Regions from separate parts of the Mus musculus genome. Here regions 2, 3 and 4 are each reported to be linked to region 1. The links are microRNA targets in miRTarBase. Many come from high-throughput screens and were not tested one by one. Region 1 holds a microRNA gene; each other region holds the end of a gene's coding sequence.
What was found. The annotated mature microRNA mmu-miR-362-5p reads AAUCCUUGGAACCUAGGUGUGAAU and lies in region 1 at 2,175-2,198, shown strand. An mRNA with a match to its seed (bases 2 to 7 or 8) in the 3' UTR can be bound and repressed. Matches are read on the target gene's strand: a 7mer-m8 pairs with bases 2 to 8, a 7mer-A1 pairs with bases 2 to 7 and ends in A, and an 8mer does both.

Region 1 (7,125 bases):
GGGACCAAGCACTCCAGTATATGAACCTGTGAGGGCAATTTTTATTAAACCACCATGGGAGTGTATAGTTAAACTAATAAGGATTACTAGGTGATGAAATGTTATGTGACTACTATTGTATATGTAGTTTGTGGCTTACCAAACACCATGTAGTATGTGACTATAGTTCTGATTGTATGATAGTGTGCTGATATGTGGAGCCAGTGGTAAGTTGGGCAGTCCAGTCTTTGTAGCATGTGCATACAGGAGGATGAAAATCATTCTCACTGTGTACGATCACATATACATGCCTGAGAAGCTGCAGGATGCACTTCCTTACTTTAGCCTCCACTTTCTAAGTGTCAAACCTGATTCATCACGTTCTCAGCACACATAGGCAACCTTCAAATGCAGAGGCCCACTGACAGCTTAGCAGGAACAGAGTCCTGCTCCCCTAACCTTGTTCTCTTACACCTCTAAGGAAGGGTAGTGGGCTCTCTTGGTTTTCATCTTTGACGGAGCTGTTATAGGAAGGTATACTTGTTTGTTAACACTGACATTTTTGTAAACACATACCTAGACAGTCATAGATATGCTTTTGCATCAGCTGGGTAGATAGGAGAACAAATATGAATGAAGCCCATCTATAGCTAGGTGTACATCATATATAGGCCCGTGAGCATAGAAGGTTTCTTTTGTTTGATACACTTGTTTTCTCATAGAGAAAAATGCCTTACTGTCATTCATTTATATTCGCTCTCCCCCCTTCTCTACTTCTCCCCTCTCTCCTTACTCCTGACTCTCTTCACTCTCTGTGACATATAGTAGGAAAGTGAAAGATTGAAACTTGTGATTTTGTCTTTCATATCCCTCACAGAAAGGGGTGTGAACTTCGTTGATTTAGGCACATTGAAGAAGAATTACCAGAGAGCCAGTCCTTGCATTGCCTTTTACAGATTCTCCGAGTCACTGATATTCATGCCTCCTTCACCTGGCTTTTGCATATATGAGTATGACCATACTATTGTAAACAGGACATTCATTTAGACACATGTGTACAAAAATGGTAGTGTAAGAGGTAAAAATAATAGCCAGGGGCCAGGTCCTGCATCCTACTCTAGGCTTGCATCTTACCTAATTTTTTTGGTACTCTTTAAAGAGATAGCATTTGTTATTCTCATTTTTTAGAAGTAGTCCATGACCTTGGAGAAAGCAGGTAGATTCTTTAATCCAGTACATGGTGAAGTATAGGTTTGAAACAGGGTTTGTAGATACCAAACTCCACAGTTTCTCTGTCTTATCCATGATGCTGGTAAGGTCCCCAGCATCACCCAGCCCCTTTTAGAAATACAAAATCTTGAGCTCACTAATGAGAAACCTCTGTAAGTTATCTTAGTACCAAGTCCTCCAGGTATCTGAAGTAACTTTAACAAGATGCTGATGTGTGTTAAAGGATGCCAATCTCTACTGCCATCTTGTGAGCTTATGGCCTCTTCTCTCTGTCTCTCTGTCTTTTTTTCTTTCAGTATTTTGTATCTCTGGCTTTATATTTTTATAATCTCAGAACAAAATATGAATGTATATATTTAGACAGGTTTCTCTGTCTCTGTCTGTCTGTCTGTCTGTCTGTCTCTCTGTCTCTGTCTCTCTTTGTCTCTGTGTCTGTCTGTCACTCTGTCTCTCTCTCTCTCTCTCTCTCTCTCTCTCTTTCTGTGTATGTGTGTGGAGGGTGCAGAGGTCAACCTGAGGTGCTTCCCCTTTGGGGACATCTACCCTGTTTTTTGAAACAGTCTCTAATAGGGACTTGGCACTCACCAGTTAGGCCAAGGGATCTAGCTTTCTTTGAGTCCTCACGCTTGGCTCTTTTATGTGGAGGCTGGGAGTTGAACTCAGGTGCCTAGACATACTTAATGTGAAGCTCAAGAACATTGTCTTCTTTCTCATCACAGATAAGCACCTTGTGTCAAAGGTGAGCCCATGCGTTCATTTGCTGTGAGCCTTTTGCCCTGCTTCAGTTCTCTGATCCTTGCTACCTGGGTGAGAGTGTTCTTCAGCAAGGATTCTGAGAGCCAGACCTTTGTGTTTGTAAAGGACAGAGCGCATCTCTCGTTCTCTTTTAGTGTGTTGCACACAAGCATATTGACCACACACAGGAAGGGCAGGTTCCTGAGCCTTCTTGCTTGCTCCCCCTCTCGAATCCTTGGAACCTAGGTGTGAATGCTGCTTCAGTGCAACACACCTGTTCAAGGATTCAAAGAGGCTGAGCCTTGTCTGCGTGTAGAATGGCCCATACTTGCACATCTCACCTGCCACCTTCCCTCCTCCTGGCCACCATTTGATTTTGGTTTTAGCTGTCAGACTTGGTTCTACACATTTTCTAACAGCAAAATGGTCTTTATCATGTTTGGTAGACATGCTTCTATTCTCAGCATGAGCTTTCTTGATTCCCAGTTTGCTAAGTGTCAGATCATGTGATGAGGAGCACACATTAGGTGCTGCTACTCAGGCAACCCGTTTGTTACATCCAGTGATAACCCCTGTTCCACAAAGCTTGAATTGTATAAAGGCATTGGAAAGGAATGGAGTATCCTCCTCCACTGTGCCCTCTTTCAGTATGTATATGCATTCTCAGATCCCAGCCTTCTTGCTACCTTCCAAACATAAATCAGGCCCCCACAAATTCTCAAGTATGATCTGGGAGAGATACCATTTTGTATACGTAGAAGTTTTCTCTGAGAGAGGATGCTCATGGTGGGAAGGGGGCAGATACATATATAAATCAGGGATGTCAAGCTTGGGTATAGGTGGTGATGCTTGGCTGAATCAGGACAAGGAAAATTAAATATTATATACAGAACCACACAAACATGGTACAGGTGCCTGGGCCTTCTGCTCTGCTCATCCTCTCTAATCCTTTGTCCCTGGGTGAAAATGCTATTTGTATGCAATGCACCCGGGCAAGGATTTGGGGAAGGTGAGCCTGATCTGCATGGAGAAGGACAGGAGGTCTGTGCATCATATCTCATCTGTTTGCTGCTTGCATACTTCTTTTATGCCTCCCCCCACCTTCTTTCCTTCTACAAATACAACGGGCATGGTGCATGGGAGAGTAAATGTGACAAATTTGGCCTCTTCCCACCTAGATTTTATAGGTAGAACTTTATTTCCACTTATGACCCTAACAGGTATCAAGAACAAGTGGGGCACATAGTAAACTGTGTATTGACATAAGTGCGCAGCTTTTCATTCTAGTTCTCATACCGACACCTGGAAGAGAAATTCTTCTTTAGTTCAACTCTTGGAGGAATGCACAGGGCAAGAACAGTAAGCCTTCTTGTTGAACCCACATGCCAAGGGCATAGGTGCAGGCTGTGCCTTTCTAGTACTTGCTACTTGGATGAGTGTGCTTTGCGAATGCAATATACCTGGGCAAGGGTTCAGACATTGAGTTATCTTCATGTAGGACCTTTACGCCTCCTTCCACTGTTTCCTGTCTATTTATTCAGTATGGCAGGTACTCAACTAGGGATTTGGTCCACAGGAGTATGAACCACATGTGGTTCAGGGAGCAAATGGTCCAGGGAGAGTGAGCTGTGTCACATCCATTATGCCTGCATGAGTGGACTGTAGACTGGGACTTCATGTACACTGTCCACTTGGATTCTTCCATATTTTAACACAGTCCCATATAAATGCAGTGTATACAGAGGAGAGGATTCACAGACTTGTGCCCACAGAGAGGATTATCTGACCTGATTCATCAGGAACATTAATCCTCAGCACAAGTGCTGTTTTCAATAGTAAGTCCTGTCCAAGGAATCCAAAGGGTGGCACTTCGCCTGCACTTTAAAGGACAGAGCCCCTATATGTCCACACCCCTGTTCCTTTTCCTTCCTTTCACAAATATTCAGGTATGCACTATTTGATACAGCTCTGTTAGTCATAGAGGATGTAGCAGGAAACAAAATGAACAGAGGTGCTACTCTCTTAGGAGACTAATAAACACACTAAGATCCTTGACTATTATAGACTCACCAACTGCTGTTCAAAAGAATGACCTAGGTCTATTGTTCCTTGTTTTCTATTCTGTATGAATGACTCAGTGCAGGGTCTGATAGATGAGATTTCTCAAACTATTCCCCCTCCCATGGCCCTAGATATGCCTAAACACATGGGCCTACGTGGAGAGGAGTCACTCGCTCACAGGAAGAGTGGATATGGAGCCTATTGTGTTGTTCCCTCTCCTCATCCCTTCAGCCCGAAGACCAGTAGACTAAGTGACTTCTTGTCAACTACCATCACTACTCCCATTTGAAGACAGGAGCTTACTGTCTTACTGTGTAGCTCTGTCCCTCAAGCTGATTCTCCTATACCCACCTCCATAGGTCATACTTTTCTACACACATTTGCAAGCTGGCCTGGGCAACATGTGATCCCAAAAGAAAAGTGAATCTCTTTCATGTTAAAAATAGTAGTCTTTATATCATGTATATTTTTTATTCAGATGAGGGAGGTCTAACTAAGTAGCTTAGTCCAGCCTGGAACTTGCTGTCTATTCCAGAGTAGCCCAGATCTCTTGGTTCACCTGCCTCAGGCTCTGGGTGCTGGGATTATAGGTCTGATGTGCCACCGTGTCCAGATGCTTCATGTTCTGAATGGCCATTTACAGTGGTGATTCTCAAGGCAGGATCCCTGAATCAGCAGCATCACCGTCACATGGGAATGCATTCAAAGTGCGGAGTTCCACCCCTGACCTATCAGGTCATAACACAGAGCAGTTTATATTCTCTTTAAGCCTTCCAGTTGATTCTGATGATCACTCAAATCTTATAATCACAGAATCCAGCCAGGTGAGGGGCTAGAGAGGAAAGAGTTCCCTTCTTTCTTATGTATGTTCATGCAGGCTGTCTGGGAGAAGCTCAGCTGGTCTCTCCTGCCTTCTCATTCCCACACTTGATGATGGCATGTGGGCAAATGAATATGCAACAAAGAGAGAGAAACCGTAGCATGATTTCTGTAGGCATGTACCTAATATTATAGACAGACACATAATTGGTGTACAAAACCAAAACCAACTCAAACACTTCCTTGTGTGCATGGATTACACATGAGAGTGGGCCTTGTCATCATGAATCTTCTGCCAGGTGATTTAATTAGCACATGTTGACTGTTCACTATGCTGTGCTATGTGTTGTTGCAGGAGTGTTCTGCTGAAGAGCATAGCTTTCTCCAGAGGAGGGATGTGTGGTGAGATTTGCTTTCCTACTGAGAGAGCAGTCATTCAGGGAGCTAGGAAGTAAGAGCTCTCAGTCTCGTGTGTGTTTCCATGTGGATGCACATGTGACATATGGAAGTAGAGATGTAGTTCTCTGAATACCTAAAAGGCAGGAGAGGAGACATAATCGCAGTCTATGCTTATGTGCATTGAACTTTCTTCTTACACACTAAAAATGCACATCTGTTGTATAGGTGACTAAACCCCAGGTTTTGTTCACCCTTGCCTGTTGTTAAAGACCTGGCATGCATGTTTTTTTTTTCATTTCATTTATTTTATTCCCTTTCAGATAAAATCTTACAATATAGTCTGGCTGGCTACAATTTCATAATTTTCCTGTTTTACTCTCCTGAGTGTTGGTATTTAAAGGCTGTGCCATTTTGCTTTGCATGAATGCTCTTATCAGTGCACTGGGATTATGCAAAAATACAAACCCTGAGCCTTACATACTTATAGGAGAAGCCTATGCACCACTTCTCATTCTTTTTCTTGCTCTTTTAACAGGTTGCTTGCATTTGTATTTTGTTCTGGTCATCCAGATCGATTGAATTCCTAATGTTTGGTAGTGCTGCAGTGAACTAAGCTGTCTGAAATGCTAGCTCTACTGTCTACTGGGCCTATGGAGATTAAGCTTCTTCATGATATAGCTTCCGAGGTTAGAAATGAGCTCAGGGTATTGGAATGTAGGCTTTTTCTTCATTTGTTCATACGTAGAGTATACCTGTGCACACACATGTGGTATGAACGTCAAGATAAAGTCTTCTGCTTGCCTCCCCCTCTCTGTTGTCTTTGTCATCTAGATATGAATGTTATCTCATTGACAACATTCTACTCTTTGAGGGTTAGAGGGGCCTTTTACTTCCTTATAGAAGGGCAATTACCTGTAAATCAGTGCTTTCTCATTTCTCCCCCAACAAGTACAAATTTGCTGACACCATGCTGAGCAGGTGGTAGTCCCCAAGATAGACTAGCTCTCACCCTCAAAAGAGATGCGTAGGGAGTGGCATCTCCATGTTTTCAGTTGATGGTGAGTCACAAAATGGGACTTTTTAATCTACAGAAACACACAAAGTGTAAGACTTCTCATTTCTGCTTTCATATTGGTGTATAGTACAGTGCTTCCCGCCCCCCCCATCTCCCCCCCCCGCCTCCCCCCCTGCACATTGAGTACTCAAGGCCCTGGTCCTTCTCCTCTGCTCCCCCTCTCTAATCCTTGCTATCTGGGTGCTTAGTGCTATCTCAATGCAATGCACCTGGGCAAGGGTTCAGAGAAGGTGAGCTCATCTGCATCAAGAAGGACCAGAGACCCTGTGTGTCAGCCTACCCCTCCCTCCTTCTTTCCCCCTCCCCCTTCCTTCCCTCTATTGAGTAAAATAGTTGTTTGAGTGAGTCATGTATACCAGGGAACCCCCTAACAGATTATTTAAGAGATTTCAGGTACTCTAGTTGGCTTCTTTCTACAGCTAACTTATAAAATACTCAGGTACCTGGAGTGTGTAGGCTTTCTCTGTATTCTGTCCTGTATGGTTATACAGGATGAGGTCAGGAGTTCAAACCTGATATGTTTTTCTACTTCCTCACAGCCTAGAGGTGAGTATTGTTTCAGACATGGTTTCTAGCTAAAGATTCACTGGAAGGACAAAGAACTATTAGATCTGCCTTCTCCCCTCCCCAATGTCTAGTTTCTACTGTATATTGGGCATTCAGTTTAATGTTGAGAGTATGGTAATGGATGGACAATAAGGGCCAGATTACTGCATGTAGTCTCTGGTGAGCACCTTTAGGAACAAACTCCATCTGGATCAACAGTGTACATGGACACAGTAATGACCTCAAATAGTGATATCTATAGAGTACAAGCTCAAATGCCT
Region 2 (7,125 bases), not on the chromosome of region 1:
AGCCTTCAGAAAATGAAACTAGCAAAGAATTGGAGCCAGAGATGGAATTTGATGTTGAGCCAGATAAAGAATGTAAATCTCTTTCTCCTGGAAAAGAGAATATTAATTCTCAGGAAGTGGAAAAGGAGTCTGAGGAGAAAGAGGAAAAAGAAGAGAAAGAACCTGAGCCCCAACCTGAGCCTGTGGCTCAGCCTCAGCCCCCACCTCAGCCCCTGCCCCAGAGCCAGCCCCATTCTCAGCCCCACTCCCAGCCCCAGCCTGTACTCCAGTCCCAGCCTCTCTGTCAGCCTGAGACTTTGCCATTAGCTGTTTTGCAGCCTCCACCTCAGGTTATTCAGGAGCAAGGGAATCTACTACCTGAGCGGAAGGATTTTCCTCTAGAGTCTATAAAACTCCCTGAGGTGTCTGTAGAGCCAGTCTTGACAGTACATTCAGAAAACAAAAGCAAGAATAAGACTAGGAGCAGGAGCAGGGGGCGAGCAAGGAATAAAACAAGCAAGAGTAGAAGTCGGAGCAGCAGCAGCAGTAGTTCCAGTAGCAGCTCTACTAGTAGCAGCAGCGGGAGCAGCTCCAGCAGTGGCAGCAGCAGTAGTCGAAGCAGCTCCAGCAGCAGCTCCAGCACGAGTGGGAGCAGCAGCAGAGACAGCAGCAGCAGCACTAGCAGTAGCAGTGAGAGTAGGAGTCGCAGTAGGGGCCGAGGACATAACCGAGATAGGAAGCACAGAAGGAGCGTGGACCGGAAGCGAAGGGATACTTCAGGACTAGAAAGAAGTCACAAGTCTTCAAAAGGTGGTAGTAGTAGAGATACAAAAGGATCAAAGGATAAGAGTTCCCGCCCTGACAGAAAAAGGTCTATATCAGAGAGTAGTCGATCAGGCAAAAGATCTTCAAGAAGTGAAAGAGACCGAAAATCAGACAGGAAAGACAAAAGGCGTTAATGAAGAAGCCAGGCTTGCTTAGCCTATTCTTTGCAGCAGAAGATGTCTTGATGAGTAAAAGGATTACCTTGTAAAGAGGATGCTGCCTTAAGAATTGCATGTTGTAAAAATTCTTTTTGGAGAATACAGACTGTTTGTTTACCAGACATTCTTGTACTTTTTGCATAATTTTGTAAGAGTTATTTATCAAAATTATGTGAGGTTCCAAAATATGTAAAAATGATAATAATAAAAAAAGATTAACATCCTTTGTCATCTTTTTTAACTACCCTATTACTGTTCAGTCAGAATCCGTATATTTTAATAGGTAAATCTTTAAATTGTTCCTTATGTTCTGTATCATACATTGCTTTTGTAGAAATAAATATGCATCTTTCATTATTTTTGGGATGTCCTTGTTGACACTTGTATAATAAATATCTTTATATCATTTTCAGTTTTTGTCACAAGATACTGAACATGATTAGGATGTTTTTGAAGGTTTCATCACTTTGATTTGCCTGAAAACAGTTGCCAGGTTTTTACAGCTTTGACAGGGAATAGTTCTTTTAAAACATTTATTTCCTATCTTACAGTTTTTAATCTAAGCATTTTTCTGTTTTTCATTAAAACCATTCAGTTGGTAGATAACTTCAACCGTACGATTTGGTTGTCATTTCACGATTATAGAACAACATTCTCTTGTCCTCTCAGCTCCTTGTGTGATAACAACTTAGAGTGTAATCTGTTATAGTTATCACCTCCCGGGTGGTGGGGGTCGGGTAAAAATCTCTTCTAAACTTGGTTTTTGAATCTGTGGTCTTGTCTTTTCTGTTGGCTATAACTGAAACATGCCAATCTGTGTTTTCAAGAATTTTTGTTTAAGGAAGTATTGTATGGAAGTTTACACAATGAAGGAAGTTCATCTAGACTTGAATATGTAAACAAGATAACACACAAGTGTACCAAGTGATTATTAACTTTGTTGTTTATAAATTTGTATGGACCTGGAGTATCTGTTGCCCATTACTATATATGTGCAAATAAATGTGACTTAGACTTGTGACTGTTTAAAATTAGTACTTGTATTAAAGTTTTGATGCATATGAGAGCATTTAAATGACAGTGGCTATTTTAACATTGTAGTTTTAGCCTGATATTAAATATTCAGTATATTGTCTATAAGTAAATGGTTTCAGTGAAAAATGAACAAATATCTTCATTTAGTTTTGTGTCTGAACCACTCATGTGTTAAAGCAAATGTGAAAAAGAATTATTTTTAAAAATCCTTTTCTTGGATTAAGTGAACCACTTACATCCAAAAGCATGCTGATGCCAAGACGGGCTTAACCAACGGCTTGTACTTGGCAAAATGCTTTGGCCTTGTGCTATGCAATGAGACAGATTGGTAAAGGACTGACTAGATTAGAAATGACAGGAGCCCTCCCCTAGCACATAGTGGGAGGGGGACTCCAAGAAAGGAGTACTCAATAACATGTTTTACTTAAATGTTTTGTCTGTGGGCGTGTGCAGGCAGGCACCAAGGCAGCCAGAAGACATTATATCCCTCAGAGTGAGAGTGAGGCATTGTTCATTGTGGAGGCTGAGGAACAAACAGGTCCTCCTAAGATGTGTATTACCACAACCACCCTAAAAAATTTTTTTTAAAGCTCTCATTTCTGGATATTTTAAGGTTTTGTGTATTTAAGTATTTTGCTGTTTTCTAATTTAAAGCATACATACTATGGTACTACTATCTTTGCAACCTTCACTGTCAAACTCATAAGCACAGCAATGCCCTCCTTCCCCCCGTTTCATAGTGCCTGGGATCAATCCCAGGGCGTCAAGTATGTTAGCAGGTACTTTACATCTGAGCTCTAACCCCCAGACCCAAATGACTAGAGTTTAACATTCATCCCTCTGATGGGAAATAACAGACTTTGAAATCCCTTTTCTGTTAGTAGATATACCTAAATTCTAAGTGGGCAAAGGCATTCCATATAGAAGCAACACTTGTCTGTGCCTTGGAGTTAGTTGTGGCCATCATGGGAATGGAAGCCAGGGGTAAACTCCCAGGTCACATATCTCCTCCACTTTTTCTTTTTTTTTTTTTTTTTTTTTTTGGTTTTTTGAGACAGGGTTTCTCTGTGCAGCCCTGGCTGTCCTGGAACTCACTTTGTAGACCAGGCTGGCCTCGAACTCAGAAATCCACCTGCCTCTGCCTCCCAAGTGCTGGGATTAAAGGCGTGCGCCACCACCACCCGGCTCTCCTCCACTTTCTTATTACCAAATAGTGTAGCATGTATTTGCTAGTAATAAGCATTGATCATAGAGAAAAGTAGCTCAAAGCAATTCGCGGAACTGACCCATCCATGCCCTCTGGGACCTCCATGTTCTGATTGTAAGTGAGTCATTCAAAGTAAGGTTTGCAGCATATAGCTCTATTGACTAGCTTCTAAATTGTTTGCAGTTGTTTGATAATAAGTAATACCTTTGAATGTATCATGGTACATGTATAGAAATATCTTTTTCAAATATACCTAAAATGAAAGCACCTAGAGATAGTTGAGGCAAATTGGAAACTTATAGATAATTCTTACTAAATGTAGAGGAGATTGGTTTCATACCCTTCCAATGAGGTGTTTATTTAGTTCTTGAGGTGTAGAAGACTAAAAAGATCTTAGAGGTGCTGGAGAGATGTCTCTACAGTTAAGAGTGTATACTGCTTTTCCAGAGGATCAGGCTCCATGGCTTCTGACTGCCTGTAATTCTGGCTCCAGGTGGACCGGTGCTTCTGGGCTCTGAGCACCTGCCCTCGTGCACATTGCACACATTACACACATAATGTAAAAGTAAACTTCTTAAAAACACAGGGCTTGGGGATGCCACTCCCAGGTAGAGGGCTTGCCTGCATATATAAGCACTGCATTTGATCCCCATACTAGATAGGACTAGATATGATAATATATGCTTGTGATGCCTAAACAGAATGAGGCAGAAGGGTTAAGTATGGTTCAGGGTCGTTGGTTTAAAAGTTATCTCAAACATGTAGGGAACAAACTTAGCTTTTGTAATAATAGAATTATGTAATAATACAACCACAGTAGCCCTACTGTGCTATGTAGAACTCTAGGTGTTAATTTCTAGTCTTCAGTATTGATCCACCTTGAATTGAGGTTTGTTTGTTTGTTTGTTTCGAGACAGGGTTTCTCTGTATAGCCCTGGCTGTCCTGGAACTCACTTTGTAGACCAGGCTGGCCTCGAACTCAGAAATCCACCTGCCTCTGCCTCCCGAGAGCTGGGATTAAAGGCGTGTGCCACCACACCTAGCAGAGTACATATTTTAACTGCTAGGCCATCTCTCTAGTCCTTACATTTAGCTTTCATGCAAACTTTAGAATAATTTCCCAAGAGCCCAAAAGATTTATTTTTATTTATTTTGGTTGTTTTAGACAGGATTTCTCTAGCTACCCTGGAACTCACTCTATAGTCCAGGCTGGCCTCTAACTCAAGAGATCTGCCTGCCTCTACCTTCCAGGTGCTGGAATTAAAGGCCTGTGCCACCACTACTCACTGTTAACTTTAGTTGTGCTTGTATTAACTTTTAATTTTTACTTGTGAATAATTGTGGGTCTCACTGTTCTCGTGGATCAACAGTCAACTCAGTCCACATGGGCAGTGAGAACAGAGATGTCAAAGGGAAATGGAAGCTCTGTGACTATGTACGGTGAATGACTGCACCATACAGCTATCAGGAGGCAGATCAACTTTACTTAAGATGCTTCAAGGCTTGTTTTGGGGAGATTGAGGATAGGAACATCCAGGATAGGCAAAGGCCATTGGCTGGGGGTTTAGGTACTTGGAATGCCTCATTAGCATTGGGGAAGTATTTCAGCCATCTCAGGTGCTGCCTGAACAGGTTTTCTCAGGAAAAAGGAAATTGGCCCTGTAATCTAATTGAGGCTACTGAAATTCTATGTAGGGGCTAAGAATCCCCCAGACAAGGTCAGAGAAGGACAAGCCCTGCTAATGAAGGGAGTCTTCCATATTGCATTAAGCCCAGAGTCTATCTGGTCATGGTGGATTTTGCCCTTAATTTTCAGAGTTTTCCCACAAATAATTAACATCTTTAGAGTGTTGGACCAATTTTAACAGAAAGAGATTCAGTTCTTCATGCATCCTGTCAACTATAGACCATGGGAAACCTTTGATGGTTTTCTTCATTCTTACTAAGTTCCTCAGAGTTTGCATGAATTTGGTATTAGAGCTTTCTGCTTTCATTGCGTGCCTAGTTTATTTACTTATATATAGACACGAACTCACAGAGAGCCATAGGCATGGTCTTGTAGTTCCCCAGTCTCTTCTGTCATTGGCACAGAAACCTGGATGTGTCATCAGATTCTCGATGGCTTAGTCAAAGGTTAGCTGTTTAATGCTAACTTCATGTTTATCACTCTAGTATAAATAAGAAACAATCTTTGGGGCTGTGGGGAAAGCTGAGTAGTTAGGAGTGCCTGCTGCTCTTGTAGAGGACCTTAGATTCTGTTCCTAGTACCTACCTACATGGTGGCTCAAAACCACCTGTAACTCTCTAGTTTCAAGGGATCTGATGCTGGCTTCTAGCTTCTGTGGACAACAGTCATGCATGAGTGCAGATACATAAATGCAGACACAGACCCTCCCCCCTTTAGGATCTCACTTTTTGTGAATCTCAGGCTGGCCTCGAACTCACTATGTAGCCGAGAATAATTTTGAAAGTCTGTGTGTTTGTGTGTGTGTGTGTGCACATGCCAGTGTATGTGTGTACTCATGCATGTACATGTGTGTGGGGGATGTATATACACGTGAAGGCAAGAGATTGACTTCAGGTGTCTCCCTTTATCATTCTCTACCTTGCTTTTAAATGTTTATTCATTTCGTGTGTGTATGGGTCTGTGTGCTATGGAGCATGTGTAAAGGTCAGAGGACAACTTTGGGGGATTGGTCCTCGCCTTCTACCATCTGACCCTGGGAATTGAACTCGGGTCCTTAGACTTGACAGCAAGCACTTTTTATCCATTGAGACATCTTGCCAACTTCACGATGCTAACTTAAAACTTGATAGTTTGATAATTCTATACCCTGGAACAAATGCAAAGTTACTTTTTCTAGATGTCAAGCATGTTGTCCTTAGTCCTTTCTGACCTGTTTTTAGGGTGGGGTTGCAGGATAATTTTCTGTTTAGTCATTTAACCTTTGGAACTCTTAAGCTTTCCTGAAGATCCATCAGACTTGACTTCTGCTGAAACTGAAAGCATATGACTCAGCTCTGAGCAGGCAGGGTGGAACAGAGCGTCCGTCCTACACGGTATCTAGGCTTAGGACTCTTGATTCAGAGTTGTAACCAATGTGAACAAAATTACACTGTAATGTTTATTTATTTATCATTTTAAAATTTACTTGTTTTTGTTTGTTTGTTTTTGTTTTCCAAGACTGGGTTCCTCTGTGTAGCCCTTACTTTTCTGGAATTCACTTTAGAGACCAGGCTGGCCTTGAACCCAGAGATCTGTCTGCCTCTGCCTCCCAAGTACTGGGAGTAAAGGTGTGTAGCACTGTCCCCTGACATAACTGTTAGTGAAATTCTGAGGCAATCAAGTGCTCTGCATACTTCAGTAGGACTGGTGTAGAACTAGCAATGCGAATCTGCTGGAAAGCATCCTGCAGAGGTGCAGGGAGAGAAGCTAGCTTAAATAAGGCTGAGTCTTTTTCTTTCCTGGGCACTCACCTCTCCCTTCCTGGAAGTTAGCTGTGGCCATGTGATTTGGTTCTGCAGTGTCGATGGGTAAAGAGGATATGTTCTCAGGCTGGACCATGGAAGTTCATACAAGGCTTTTTTCATTTTCTCTTCCACTTTTGTGATGATTTCAGAGGCCACATGATCTAGGATGCAAACTCACAAAATGGATATATTTGTGATCTCTGGGTTACTACCTAGAAGAAAGTTACCACAGGGCCGGGCATGGTGGCGCACGCCTTTAATCCCAGCAATTGGGAGGCAGAGGCAGGCAAGTAGATCTCTGAGTTCAAGGCCAGCCTGGTCTACAAAGTGAGTTCCAGGACAGCCAAGGCTACACAGAGAAACCCTGTCTCAAACCCCCCCCCCCCAAAAAGTTACCACAAACACCCTGATTAACTTGGGGAATAAAAATAAGCTTTTTTAAGGAAATAT
Region 3 (7,125 bases), not on the chromosome of region 1:
TGTGTTAAGCAGTAAACTCAGGGCCATGGACAGAGGGGCAGACATTGTATCTCTAGGCCTGACATTTTTAATTTCTGGTTGCAGGTTTTTATGTAGTTTAACTTAAACCATGCACTGAAGTTTTAAATGCTCGTAAGGAATTAAGTTACCATTGGCTCTCTTACCAAATGCGTTTCTTTTTTCTCTCCACCCTGATCAAACTAGAAGCCGTGGAGGAACTTCCAGAGATGAGTGGGAAAACGGCCCGGCGCTTCTTCTTCAATTTAAGTTCTGTCCCCAGTGACGAGTTTCTCACATCTGCAGAACTCCAGATCTTCCGGGAACAGATACAGGAAGCTTTGGGAAACAGTAGTTTCCAGCACCGAATTAATATTTATGAAATTATAAAGCCTGCAGCAGCCAACTTGAAATTTCCTGTGACCAGACTATTGGACACCAGGTTAGTGAATCAGAACACAAGTCAGTGGGAGAGCTTCGACGTCACCCCAGCTGTGATGCGGTGGACCACACAGGGACACACCAACCATGGGTTTGTGGTGGAAGTGGCCCATTTAGAGGAGAACCCAGGTGTCTCCAAGAGACATGTGAGGATTAGCAGGTCTTTGCACCAAGATGAACACAGCTGGTCACAGATAAGGCCATTGCTAGTGACTTTTGGACATGATGGAAAAGGACATCCGCTCCACAAACGAGAAAAGCGTCAAGCCAAACACAAACAGCGGAAGCGCCTCAAGTCCAGCTGCAAGAGACACCCTTTGTATGTGGACTTCAGTGATGTGGGGTGGAATGACTGGATCGTGGCACCTCCGGGCTATCATGCCTTTTACTGCCATGGGGAGTGTCCTTTTCCCCTTGCTGACCACCTGAACTCCACTAACCATGCCATAGTGCAGACTCTGGTGAACTCTGTGAATTCCAAAATCCCTAAGGCATGCTGTGTCCCCACAGAGCTCAGCGCAATCTCCATGTTGTACCTAGATGAAAATGAAAAGGTTGTGCTAAAAAATTATCAGGACATGGTTGTGGAGGGCTGCGGGTGTCGTTAGCACAGCAAGAATAAATAAATAAATATATATATTTTAGAAACAGAAAAAACCCTACTCCCCCTGCCTCCCCCCCAAAAAAACCAGCTGACACTTTAATATTTCCCAATGAAGACTTTATTTATGGAATGGAATGGAAAAAAACACAGCTATTTTGAAAATATATTTATATCTACGAAAAGAAGTTGGGAAAACAAATATTTTAATCAGAGAATTATTCCTTAAAGATTTAAAATGTATTTAGTTGTACATTTTATATGGGTTCAACTCCAGCACATGAAGTATAATGGTCAGAGTTATTTTGTATTTATTTACTATTATAACCACTTTTTAGGGAAAAAAGATAGTTAATTTGTATTTATATGTAATCAGAAGAAATATCGGGTTTGTATATAATTTTCAAAAAGAATTGTAGTTGTTTTTCAGTTGTGTGTATTTAAGATGCAAAGTCTACATGGAAGGTTGCTGAGCAAAGTGCTTGCACACTTGCTGTCTGTTTCTTGCAGCACTACTGTTAAAGTTCACAAGTTCAAGTCCAAAAAAAAAAAAAAAGGATAATCTACTTTGCTGACTTTCAAGATTATATTCTTCAATTCTCAGGAATGTTGCAGAGTGGTTGTCCAATCCGTGAGAACTTTCATTCTTATTAGGGGGAATATTTGGATAAGAACCAGACATTACTGATCTGATAGAAAAGCTCTCGCCACCCTCCCTGCAGCAAGAACAAAGCAGGACCAGTGGGAATAATTAGGAAAACTGTGACTATGTCAGGAAGTGATGATGGCATCTTGTTCTTTCTTAAGCCTATAATCCCTTCCAGGGGGCTGATCTGGCCAAAGTACTAAATAAAATATAATATTTCTTCTTTATTAACATTGTAGTCATATATGTGTACAATTGATTATCTTGTGGGCCCTCATAAAGAAGCAGAAATTGGCTTGTATTTTGTGTTTACCCTATCAGCAATCTCTCTATTCTCCAAAGCACCCAATTTTCTACATTTGCCTGACACGCAGCAAAATTGAGCATATGTTTCCTGCCTGCACCCTGTTCTCTGACCTGTCAGCTTGCTTTTCTTTCCAGGGATATGTGTTTGAACATATTTCTCCAAATGTTAAACCCATTTCAGATAATAAATATCAAAATTCTGGCATTTCATCCTATAAAACCTAACCCGTGAGAGCAAATGGTTTGTTTGTGTTTGCAGTGTCTACCTGTGTTTGCATTTTCATTTCTTGGGTGAATGATGACAAGGTTGGGGTGGGGACATGACTTAAATGGTTGGAGAATTCTAAGCAAACCCCAGTTGGACCAAAGGACTTACCAATGAGTTAGTAGTTTTCATAAGGGGGCGGGGGGAGTGAGAGAAAGCCAATGCCTAAATCAAAGCAAAGTTTGCAGAACCCAAGGTAAAGTTCCAGAGATGATATATCATACAACAGAGGCCACAGTGCCTAAAAAAATTAAAGAATGTCTGATCAGCGTCTCAGCACATCTACCAATTGGCCAGATGCTCAAACAGAGTGAAGTCAGATGAGGTTCTGGAAAGTGAGTCCTCTATGATGGCAGAGCTTTGGTGCTCAGGTTGGAAGCAAAACCTAGGGAGGGAGGGCTTTGTGGCTGTTTGCAGATTGGGGAATCCAGTGCTAGTTCCTGGCAGGGTTTCAGGTCAGTTTCCGGAGTGTGTGTCCTGTAGCCCTCCGTCATGGTTGAAGCCCAGGTCTCACCTCCTCTCCTGACCCGTGCCTTAGAACTGACTTGGAAAGCGGTGTGCTTACAGCAAGACAGACTGTTATAATTAAATTCTTCCCAAGGACCTCCGTGCAATGACCCCAAGCACACTTACCTTCGGAAACCTTAAGGTTCTGAAGATCTTGTTTTAAATGACTACCCTGGTTAGCTTTTGATGTGTTCCTTATCCCTTTAGTTGTTGCACAGGTAGAAACGATTAGACCCAACTATGGGTAGCCTTGTCCTCCTGGTCCTTCAGTCATTCTCTAATGTCTCTTGCTTGCCATGGGCACTGTAACAAACTGCAATCTTAACATCTTATAAAATGAATGAACCACATATTTACATCTCCAAGTCCTCCAGATGGGAGTGCGATCATTCCATAAGGATCCCACCTTCTGGCAGGTCTATCCAGTACATATTTTCTGCTTCATTGGTCTTGATTTTCTTGGCTAAAATTACTTGTAGCACAGCAGGCCCCATGTGACATATAGGTATATACATACATGTATGTGCATATAGTGTGTACATGTTCTAATTTATACATAGCTATGTGAAGATTATGTTACATATGTAGATGGTCGCACTTCTGATTTCCATTTAGGTTCAGAGAGAGACGTCACAGTAAATGGAGCTATGTCATTGGTATATACCCCGAGTGGTTCAGGTGTTCTCTCTATTTTTTTAAGATGGAGAACACTCATCTGTACTATCGAAAATGAGCCAAATCACTTAGCAAATTTCTAGTCACTTGCCTTGCTGTTAAGATACTGATTCACTGGGTGCTGACATGCTGAGCCCCTCCCTACTTTTTGATTGAAAGGACAAAGGAAGAGAGCTTTGCAGTAAAGAATGGTTATATTGTGGGGGCGAGGGGGGCGGCGTTATAGATCGGCATATATGTGAGGAGGTCACAACAGCCTGCACTATTCCTTTTCTGTTTTATGTCTTGCAGGGGAAGGGACAGGTAGGGTGGGGTTGAGGGGGCAGGGCACACACATCTACTTGGATAAATTGCATCTCCTCTTTCCTTCACCCCGCCACCATATCTTAAAGCCTTATGACATCCTCTAGGGCAGAATTTTCTCACCAGCTCCCCGCCCTACCAACTTCAAAGTGAACTTCTAACTAACTTGAGGGGCCAAAGTTCTAAATAAAACTTGTTAGAGTTTAGCGGGCACCTCAGTCATCAGGAATGCCTCCAGGAAAGCAAAAAAGCTTGATGTGTGTACAGCCCACGTGGTGGAGTCCTGCCACCCTATGATTCCTGTCCCAGTGGTCTGGGTGGGGCCTGAGATCCTGAATTTCTAATGAGCTCCCAGGTGACACCCTGACTCACTGTGCCAGAGGACTGCAGTTTGAGTAGCAAGGTTGTGTGGACTGTTCTTTCGATCATGGCTACAGAAGCTGGCTCAAGTACAGCCCCTTCGTGTGTAAAAGCCATGTGTAAATGAGAAGAAACAGAAGGCAAAGCTGCGTTGCATGGCATCTGAATCAGTGCCCTGCAGTTTTGTTTTTTGTTTTTTTTTTTTCAAAGACATTCTTTTTCCCAACAAGATGAGTGGCAATCTTATGTTCTAGCCACTCTTAGACATGAAAACACTGGGTTGCTTATCTTGTAAAATCTGCTCTGCTTGCTTGCTTGGGCACGCTGCAGTCAGTTTAGTCAAATGCGTGTCAGTACATCTATATGTATGAGGGAGCAGGTGCAAGTCCTTAGAAATGTACTTTAAAAAACTTGAACACTTAAGTCAGTGTGCTGAGCTGCTCCTGTGTGATGTTAGTGCCAAGCACCTGAGTTAAAGGGATCTCTTTGAAGGCAGAGGGTAGATGTCGTATGGTTGAAGCATTTGTTTATACTAAAATGATGCTTGACTTTTTTCTAAGTTATAAGACAGTACACTGTATAAGTTCATTGAACCTAGAGGGTGGCATAGGACTCCAAATCTGGTATGGGAGGTTTGTTCTAATGGAAGTTCGAATCTTTTTTGCAGTTGGCTTGGAATAAAGTGCTTATGTGAATGGGCTTAAGCTAGGGAAAAAAATGGGTTTCCCTCTGCAAAGAGGGTCAGCACAGAAATAACTTCCTGGCTTTGCTTGGCATGAATGCCACTTGTTAGCAGAATGCCCTGTGGGGATCAAGGGTAGCTTGGGCAGCACCTTACTCGGCTCTCAGAAACTCTTAGAAGCAACACAGACTTTAATATTTGTTGAAGAAATGTCAGGATGAATATATTCTTAATCTCAACCAATCTTGTTGTGTAAGACACACACACACACACACATGCACACACACACACACACACACACACGCACACACACGCACACGCACACACACACACACATGCACACACACACACACGCACACACACACACACACACACACATCCCTGTGGGTGAACAGACATGTGCACATACACACATACAAGCACACATATTTGCATACACACGTACATGCTAACAAGCACACATGTTCACATGCACGCATGCACACACATGCATGCACATCTCTGAAGGAATTTTCGTTTGCTCATGTCTAGAGTCTGAATGCTGAGGCAAGAGCATCAACCGTCCCCCACCCCACCCCCTTGGCCAATCCCTATGGATTTATCATTTTGTTTAGGTCTCTAAACTCTGAATGGAGACCCTCTGAGGTGCTACACCATACGCTGACTTTAACAGCACTTAAAAGCTTGTGTTTGCCTGTGTGCTGGGCCCCTCGCCAAGGCATTGCTGGGAGTCCATTACTGTTGCAGTCCATTCTGATGAGGAGGTCTCTCAGCAAAGCCCCGATCTGCTCACAGCTCTCCTCATAAGGAGCAGGAACTCATCTGGACCGAATTTACCCTAGAACCGCTTGGCCACAACACTATGAGAGAATAATTATTGAACTATTTTACTGTACAACTATTTCCAAATTGTTGATTTTTTATTGATTTCAGGAGGCAAGCTAATTGCCCCATGGCAACTTGATGTTAACATTTAATGAAGATCAGGAAGCAGAGTTTATGAAAAGCGTTTGTATAGCGACTGCAAAGCTTCAAGAACTGTTTTACACTTCCTGACGGGGCTGGGCCTCGCTTAATGGTTTGTTTTTATTGCTTAAGAGTGTAAACCGTGCCTTAGCCCAGTGTGTGGAAACTATACCCTCATCCCGCATTGCACATTTTCTTGTTGCTTTTTCCTCGCTTCCCATGTCATTGTACCATCTACAATCAAGACTTTCTCTTCTTTGTATGCAAGCAAGTTTCTATCTTAGACGTTGATGACACTACATGCACACACACACACACACACACACACACACACACACACGCACATGCATGCACATAGCCTGATGAACTGAATGTGCTGCTTCACTGTGTTTGGGTGGAGTTTCTGTTCAGCACTTGGTTGCTAGACAACCAAGCAGACAAAATTTAGCGATTCAAAAGGCATTTTTAAAGACGACAAATTTTGAGTGGCTGAACTCTTTTATCTCTGACTTTATGGGGAAGGTGCAGGTTTCTTTCAAAGATCTTGTCTCTTCCTGTTTTTTGCTGAGTAGATAGCTTACTGGTAGAAATTGTGTGTGTGTGTGTGTGTGTGTGTGTGTGTGTGTGTGTGTGTGTACAGCGATCATGTGTTTGCACATGTGTATTCAGGTGCACGTGCACATGTGTGCACAGCCGTGTGGAGGTCAGAGGTTAACATCCAGTGTTTCTCTCAATAGCTCTGGGCCTTGGTTTTTCAGAAAAGGCGTCTCACTGAACCTGGTTCTCATCAGTTTAGCTAGGCTGTCTGCCAGCGAGCCCCAGGGATCCTCCTGTCTCCGCCCCTTGTGTACCCCCAGCACTGGGGTCCAGACACATTACCCACCATACCCAGCTATGTTTTAATGTGGGTGCTAAAGCGCTTCATTCACTTGCTTCTTCTTGTGCAGAAAGCGATTTAGTTACTGAGCCATCTCCCTCACCCTGAAGAGTGTTTTGAAGTCTGGCTCCTTCAGGATTGTCTGAAAGCTTTCTTAACTGCTGTTCCCATTTGCTGGAACTTGCTTCCCACCTGGAAGCTAACTTGGTTTCCAAGGGCATGTTTTAAATCACTAGTAAAGTTGAGCTCCGGCTCCAAGCTCCTCCAATTGTTTCAATGTCAGGGAGTGATTCCTGTTGGAGGCAATGTTTAGAAGCACCAAGCCTGGGTGTGGAGGGCCCTGTCTCGAAGAAGCGACCCCAAGTTTTTGCCTGATAGATGGTATTGAAAATGTTTTCTAAAACCTTCGTGAAAGCCTAATTTGAAATCAAAGTCATTTTCTGATTTCTGTAACGTGCTCCAGGAGCGAGTTGTAAAATCGGGATCTTTATAGATCGGC
Region 4 (7,125 bases), not on the chromosome of region 1:
TCCTTGCATCACTGTTCATAATGATAAAATATTGAAAAGGAAACCTAAAAATTCTGAAACGAGCAAAATGTTCACTTCTGGAAAAATGGTAGAGACACTGAAAATTCTGGCTCTGTTTCTCAGCATGCAGGAGATCTCTGTTTAAAATCCCAGCATGGCAGCAAAAAGAAAAGAATATTCTGCTGACTAAAATGATGTTAAGCGTGTGTGTGTGTGTGTGTGTGTGTGTGTGTGTGTGTGTGTTAAACATGTGTTACAATATACACATGGAGGTCAGAGGAGAATTTTGAGGAGCTGTGTTTCTACTTGCATTGTGTAGGTCTTAGCAATGGAACTCAGGCGGCCAGGCTTGGCAGCAAATGCCATGACCTGCTGTGCTATCTTACCGGCGGAGAGCTATATAATATTTTTAAACCTGTATGGAAAGAAAGTGTGGAAAATGCAGTGCCATGTAAATGTTTTTTTTAAAGGATTTGTTCTTATTGCAATGTTTAATTCTGTGTATGTGTATCTATGTCTCTGGCCCATGAATGAAGAAGGTACCTGCTGAAGCCGAAGGCATTGGGTTCCCCTGGAGCTGGAGTGACAGGGTTCTGCAAGAGCCACATGTGCTCTTAAACACCGAGCCAGCTCTCCAGCCCCTACAATTTTTATGTATGGGATAGACAGCTGCATAAAACAAAAGCCAGGACTGGAGAAGTGGCTCAGTGGTTAAGAGCACTGGCTCTTTTTCTAGAAATCCTGAGTTCAATTCCCAGCAACCACATGGTGGCTCACAACCATCTGTAATAGGATCTGATGCCCTCTTCTGGTGGGTCTGAAGACAGCTACAGTGTATTCATATACATAAAATAAATAAATATTAAAAAAAGAACCCAGAAATCATATCCTATAAATATGGGAAAAGAAGATGGACTAGTCGTATATGAGTATTCAAATGAGTAAACTCAGGCATTTAAATTTTTTGTATATTTTTTCTAGAACCATACACTTGCATGATGTGGGGATAAAAATATATTATATAATATCAATAAGTAATTTTAGAGTTACTGCTTTTCAGAATAATCTGCATTAAGACTCCAGGGACGCAGAACCAAGTGCTGATTCTGTTCATTTTATTATTAAGTCAGAAAAGAAGGAAGGGCCACAGGGAAATAAGGAAGGCAGGAATCATTTTCCAAGCTCATAAACTGTTGCTGGGTTTTATGAAAGCATTGATAAACAAGTGTTGCTTTTCTTTACTTAGGATAGTGTCTAACGTTCACATTCCAGTTCCCCAATTTCCTTGTGGCTTATACAAGCTTTCTGAAACTCAAAGTCGGGTTCCAACCATTCCAGAGAAGCCTACCTCTGAGATCTAAATAACACCGTATCTCCTGGGAACTCTCTTTCACCCAACAAACTCTCCCCTTGAGCCCGGCTTGACACTAGAAGCTAAGAACAGAGGTAGAGCGAGACTCACTTCTTTTTTGACAGACTTCCTTCTCAGGACGAGAAACCAGGAGATAGCAAACACCATCAATATGTGACAAGCTGTGGAGGGATGCCAAAGCTGTTGTCTTACACAGGAAGACATCTAACCATGCCAGGCACCTGTGTGCATCCCGAGGCAGGTGGGACTGAGCATGCTGTCCGATTAAGCAGGGTTTCGGTAAGTACAACTCACGCCTAGCTGCAGCAGACTCTAAAGCAACAAGTGGGCACAGGCATTGGGTTGTGAGGTTGCCAAAGTTACCAGCTGCAGGGTTGTCCTGGGCTTCATTAAAAGAGGCAAGGTCAGACAGCATCTTTGTGAGAAGAGTTCAGACGGAGGCACTGAACAGGCATCTCTGGGCCTAGCAATGGGAGTTCTAAGCACAGCAGTCATGTGCAGGTCTTATGTTAGGAAAAGGATGCTGGAGGCAGGGTGGGGGCTGAATTTGTTCAAAGATGCTTCAGCCTGGGTAGAGATACGAGGGTGGCAGCATTGCTCTGAGGGTTTGCTAGAGCCTTGTAGTTGGGGAGAGAGGTGAGGAACCCCATTGTGGAGGGATGAAGAAGGCACAGATTACAGCCTTGAAGACTGGTTGTAGGGAAGGGTGGTGAGAGAAACCGAGGGCGGGTGGACTGGTGGTTGTTCATTTGAAAGACCTAGTCTTTAAAGACAATGTTGATGGGAGACATTAAGGGGGCATCACCAGGTGGGTGGGCACTCTAGAAATACATGATAGAATCCTGGAACTAGAGAACAGAAAACTCCTGGAAATAAGACTTCAAAGTTCTATGGAAAGATTGTTTGATCCTTACGAAGGCTCTTTGCCATATGAACATTGTTTTCTTTCTCGTGTCCATGCTTGGTGAATGTCCAGTTCAAGTCCTTTGATTTTGCTGACTCTAGTCTAATGCAGTGGTTCACCACAAAAGTGAGGCTGTGGAGTCGGGCGGACCTAGATCCCTTCCTCCATTTAGAATGAAGCAGTCATCTCTCTTACTGCCCAAACTACAGAGAGAGGTCAAGGGAGTAGTTCAGAGGTAAAATGTGTGTCCAGCGTGTAGGTACAAAGTTTAACCCCCAGCATCAGAAAAAAAAAAGTCAAGAATGAGTTATATCTACTACTGAAGTCGTGGTTAGGGTTATAGTGTTAAGTATAATCTAGTCATTGGGCATATGGAAGCTTTTAATCTGAATCCCACAATGGAGTACTTGCTTGAGATAAGCAAAAGTTCTCCTATGTAAAGACATATCTAAACACACACACTCGTAAAGACATATCTAAACACACACACACACACACACATATATATATATACATATACACACACATATATATATATGTACACACACACACGTAAAGACATATCTAAACACACACACACGTAAAGACATATCTAAACACACACACACACACACATATATACATATACACACACACATATATATATGTACACACACACACACACACACGTAAAGACATATCTAAACACACACACACACACACACACACACACACACATCCATCCTTCAGGCCTTGAGAGGAAAAGAACATGGCACTAAAGATGTTATAATATGGCTGGGCCTGGTGGCGCACGCCTTTAATCCCAGCACTTGGAAGGCAGAGGCAGGCGGATCTCTGAGTTCAAGGCCAGCCTGGTCTACAGAGTGAGCTCCAGGACAGCCAGGGCTACACAGAGAAACCCTGTCTCAGAAAACCACACACACACACAAAAGATGTTATAATATACTGGAAAAGTCTGGGTGGTGGTGGTGCACACCTTTAATCCCAGCACTCAGGAGGCAGAGGGATCTCTGTCAATGTGTGTGTATACATATACATACATATATACACATATACATGTATACGCGTGTGTATACACACACATATACACATATCCTGAAGAGTGAACAGTGACAGGGGTCTTAAAGGAAAGGCGCAGCTTCCTTTTAAACCTGGAGAGGGGCTTCACTATGACTGAAAATGAGGAGAGATCTAGAGAGACCGAGAGAGGGAGCACTCAGGAGTGTACTGCCATGAGAGGGGGGTGGTAGAAGGCCAGAAGAGCCTCTTCAGAGAGCAATCTTCAGAGCTCTTCCTTGAACAAATCCCAGGGAAGTCTCTAGACCAATCTCCGAACAACGGAAAACTGGGCTTTTTATAACCTTTAAGGGGAAGTTTCACATCAAGTGATTTAGTTCAATAGCATACGTGGCCAAGAGCGTGGAGGAGCCAGGTGCTGGCTGGGACTATAAACCGGGGGCTACACTTAGACCTCAGCACAGACAGTCTTTTCTTTATCCGAGAGAGCTGCAGGCAGGCATGGAGTGATCTCTTCAAACTGTGGGGCTTGGCCTTTTAAAAGTGACTACTGTTGTTTAGTTATGTACACACACACACACACACACACACACACACACACACACACACACACACACAAAATCAGATTCATCTATCTATCTATCTATCTATCTATCTATCTATCTATCTATCTATCTATCTATCTATCTATCTATCTATCTATCTGATAGAATCTCTCCCTACTTAGCTGGGACTGTGTAGACCATGTTAGTCTCAAACTCACTGAAACCCTCCTGGACCAGTTTCCTAAATGAGCTGAGATTACATGTCACATCAACACTCCCTGTAACCAGAATGAAGCTTGAGTTAGCTCAAGTCAGGAGAGAGAGAGAGAGAGAGAGAGAGAGAGAGAGAGAGAGAGAGAGAGAGAGAGAGAGAGAGAGAGAGAGAGAGAGAGAGAGAGAAAGTTAAAAATGAAAGGGCCAGTTTGTTTCCCTCTGCATACTGATTTTTTGGAAGACTACTACACAAATTACAAATGTGTGATTCGCTCAAGCACTCAAACACCCAGCATTACTCTCAGCCATATGCTCCAGACAATGGAGTCAACCCAAGTAACAACTTTATTCTAACCTACAGCACAAGTTCTCAAATACAGTTTAGTGGTTTTGACAGTGCTGCATATGAGCAGACTTTAAATGAATCCACAAAAAGTTAATATATTTAAAGTCAAATATACACAGTAAAATAACAGGCGGCTAACTGTTCAGAATCATGCATATACAGCGGTGTGGCTGGTGTTATCCTTGGGTACTCCTGACTACTGAAGACATCCCCAGCAACCAGTTCTTCAGTTGTTCCTTTACAATTTACCAAAAATCAGAGCCTAGACACACATACAAAATAAACTTTCTTTTAAACGTACAGCTGTCCAGAATTTCAATGAATAAACCATATCTTTAGTCTGACAGCTTGTTCCTAGACAGACAGGTTATAATAGCATCTGATCTAAAGGCAAGGTGACTTCATTTCTCTTAAACACCAAGAAAGATTAACCAACAAAGCAACTAATACATCAATCTTAATATAAGACATTGAGAGGAAACTAAAAATAATATATAAATATCACTCCACAGAGTCAGCATAAAACCCATCAACAACTGACACAAGCTTCAACCTGCCAATCAATGTTTTATTTATGGCGTGAGAAAAACATAATATATTGAGAAATGCAGAGGAAAAGGCAGAAATGTGAGTTTATGTGTCTAGTCCCACAATTAAAATGAATATCAAACTCATACAATAAAGTTAAGTGGCTTAACCACAATGACTTGAACCGTTGGGCACCAAAGTGGCAAATACAATTCGCCATGATTCAGAAAGCTCATGGCAGATGGGCAACCCAATAATACTATCATAATCCGGACAGGATCCTCCCCGACTGTGGAGAGAGACCCTGGAGAAAAACTGGGGCAAAGGCATGTAGCGAAGTTATGTCTTCTGAAAAAGTGGATGGTATCAAAACACTACTGTCTTACTCCTGGTGGCCCACACCAGTCATGGATGTCAGCCCAAAGCAGCACTGAGTTCAGGGTTAGAGATTGGCAGAAAAGGTTGGAAAAAACTGCAGTGTTTCTAAAAAATTGGCAAGTTCTCCACACTTAATAAAACTGCCAGAAGAGGTATAATGTTTGTTCGTGGAATGTTGACCGTTTGCTGCAAAAACCTCGCATGGATGAGGAGCCAGTGGGGGTGTGCGTCAATGGAATCGTTTCTTTAAAAATTTACAAAAGAACTAAAGCCTCCTTTTTAAAAAATAACCATGTTATGTCAAGATGAAACATGGTAAAAAGTAGTGTTCAGTTTCCATGATTCTTTTACACAGTGAACGGGAAACGTGATAGAAACAACTTTGGGTTTTCTTAAAAAGGAAGTTGTATTACTATTGCACTGACTTTGACAACCTGACCTACTTAATTTAGAAAAAAATCATCGTAGTTAAAATCTGTAAAAGAAAAATACAAAAATTTCTGGTTTGTAAACATCAGTTGGCCAAGTCTCTCCCGAGTCCTTCATGATAGTGGAATGGAATGAAGAATTGATTCACTACCTCATCTGTTGCCTGTGAAGAGGAAAACTCCGAGACACAGCTTTTATACTTTCACAGTAATTATATTAAAAAAAAATTAAAACGAAGTCAGTGCAAGTTTGCTCACTCTTCTTCTGTGTGCGACATTCAGTTCTCCCCCCGCCCCTCCCCCCACCCAAGTGCCTCCATCGTGATAATACTGATTTGAAAACCTAGCACAGACTGGTCATAAATGCCGAATAAAGTCTGTGGGACTTCGGTACAGGTATTTCCAAATGGCATAGTAGTGTACGGCAGCTGCCGTGGCCACAAACAGGTGCCAGATGGCATGGGCGAACGGAATGATGCCATCGCTCTTGAAGAACACAACTCCCAAGCAGTAAATCAATCCCCCACAGGCGAGCTCCTGAAGTCCGTCAGTGTTATTCTGTCAACAGAGATGGGAGGGTGGGGGAAGAAGATCTGATGTTACTCTGATGTGAGTTACTGCCCTTGCCCCTCCCTCCCCCCCAAGAAATCTCCTGGTTTTCTGAACAGTTAAAATCGCAGTGAACAACATCCTTATCTGTAAACAGAAAGCAACTGTAAATGCCTCACCAGCTTGACCCTCTCGATCTACAGACATGGATCCGATCATTGCACACATTATAGGCTCCACAAGACAGTGCTAATTCTGCTCATTTAACTGTGCCTAAGCAGATTGTAATCATGGTTAGCCGTGACGTGCCTGCCAAGGCTGAGTGACCTTCATGTACCAGATTACCCCTTGGAAGCCTCCTTCTCCATCTGACAGGCCCAAGAAACTGGTTTATAATTTATATCTTAGCCAGGCTTGCTGCACGCCTTCACCTCCCTCTCACCACATGTACCGATTGGGTTTTTCTCCCTCTGATCTTTGCAGCATGTACGAATTAAGGGAGTCTTTACTACTGACAAGGGACACATCACACTGTCTTAGGGATATCCTAATTTGCCCCATGCTTCTGGGTGTTAAATCTAAGTCCTATATGTTTTAAGTCAAAAGCAAGATTTTTTTTTTTGTTAAGGCTGTCTCGAGAGATCCAAAGACCCAGACCCATGTACAGAGTAAACTATAAAGAGACTGGTGCTGCAGGGGAAGGGGCGGTGCCCGAGGGAGAAGCAGAGGCCAAACCAAGAGGGTAGCCAGCCCTTAGAAGGGAACAAGAATGCAGACAGCTGGGTGCGAATGCCAGCAGCCTTGGAGCTAGTCCATGTGGCCCAATGGTCCCAGTGGCCAAGTCA

Region 2: miRTarBase lists Pnn as a target of mmu-miR-362-5p. The part of its 3' UTR that is shown has no 7-base or 8-base seed match.
Region 3: miRTarBase lists Bmp2 as a target of mmu-miR-362-5p. Seed matches in the 3' UTR shown: 7mer-A1 at 1,594-1,600.
Region 4: the mRNA of Mmd is a reported target of mmu-miR-362-5p. Seed matches in the 3' UTR shown: 8mer at 4,575-4,582.

What each region holds. Positions count from the first base shown.
Region 1 is chrX:7,237,092-7,244,216 of GRCm38, reverse strand. It overlaps Mir362 (microRNA 362), which reads left to right and starts at 2,171; the gene lies at 2,171-2,235. The region is part of intron 2 of Clcn5 (chloride channel, voltage-sensitive 5); the gene reads left to right. It overlaps Mir500 (microRNA 500), which reads left to right and starts at 6,443; the gene lies at 6,443-6,534. It overlaps Mir501 (microRNA 501), which reads left to right and starts at 2,866; the gene lies at 2,866-2,974.
Region 2 is chr12:59,071,876-59,079,000 of GRCm38, forward strand. It overlaps Pnn (pinin), which reads left to right. Exons shown (of 9, transcript NM_008891.2): 9 at 1-2,142. The coding sequence ends at 938. Among named protein-coding and RNA genes, the nearest start is that of Pnn, 8.5 kb to the left of the region's middle.
Region 3 is chr2:133,560,670-133,567,794 of GRCm38, forward strand. It overlaps Bmp2 (bone morphogenetic protein 2), which reads left to right. Exons shown (of 3, transcript NM_007553.3): 3 at 205-2,227. The coding sequence ends at 1,046. Mir3090 (microRNA 3090) reads left to right here and starts at 4,039; the gene lies at 4,039-4,125.
Region 4 is chr11:90,275,827-90,282,951 of GRCm38, reverse strand. It overlaps Mmd (monocyte to macrophage differentiation-associated), which reads right to left. Exons shown (of 7, transcript NM_026178.2): 7 at 4,379-6,289. The coding sequence ends at 6,089. Among named protein-coding and RNA genes, the nearest start is that of Mmd, 30 kb to the right of the region's middle.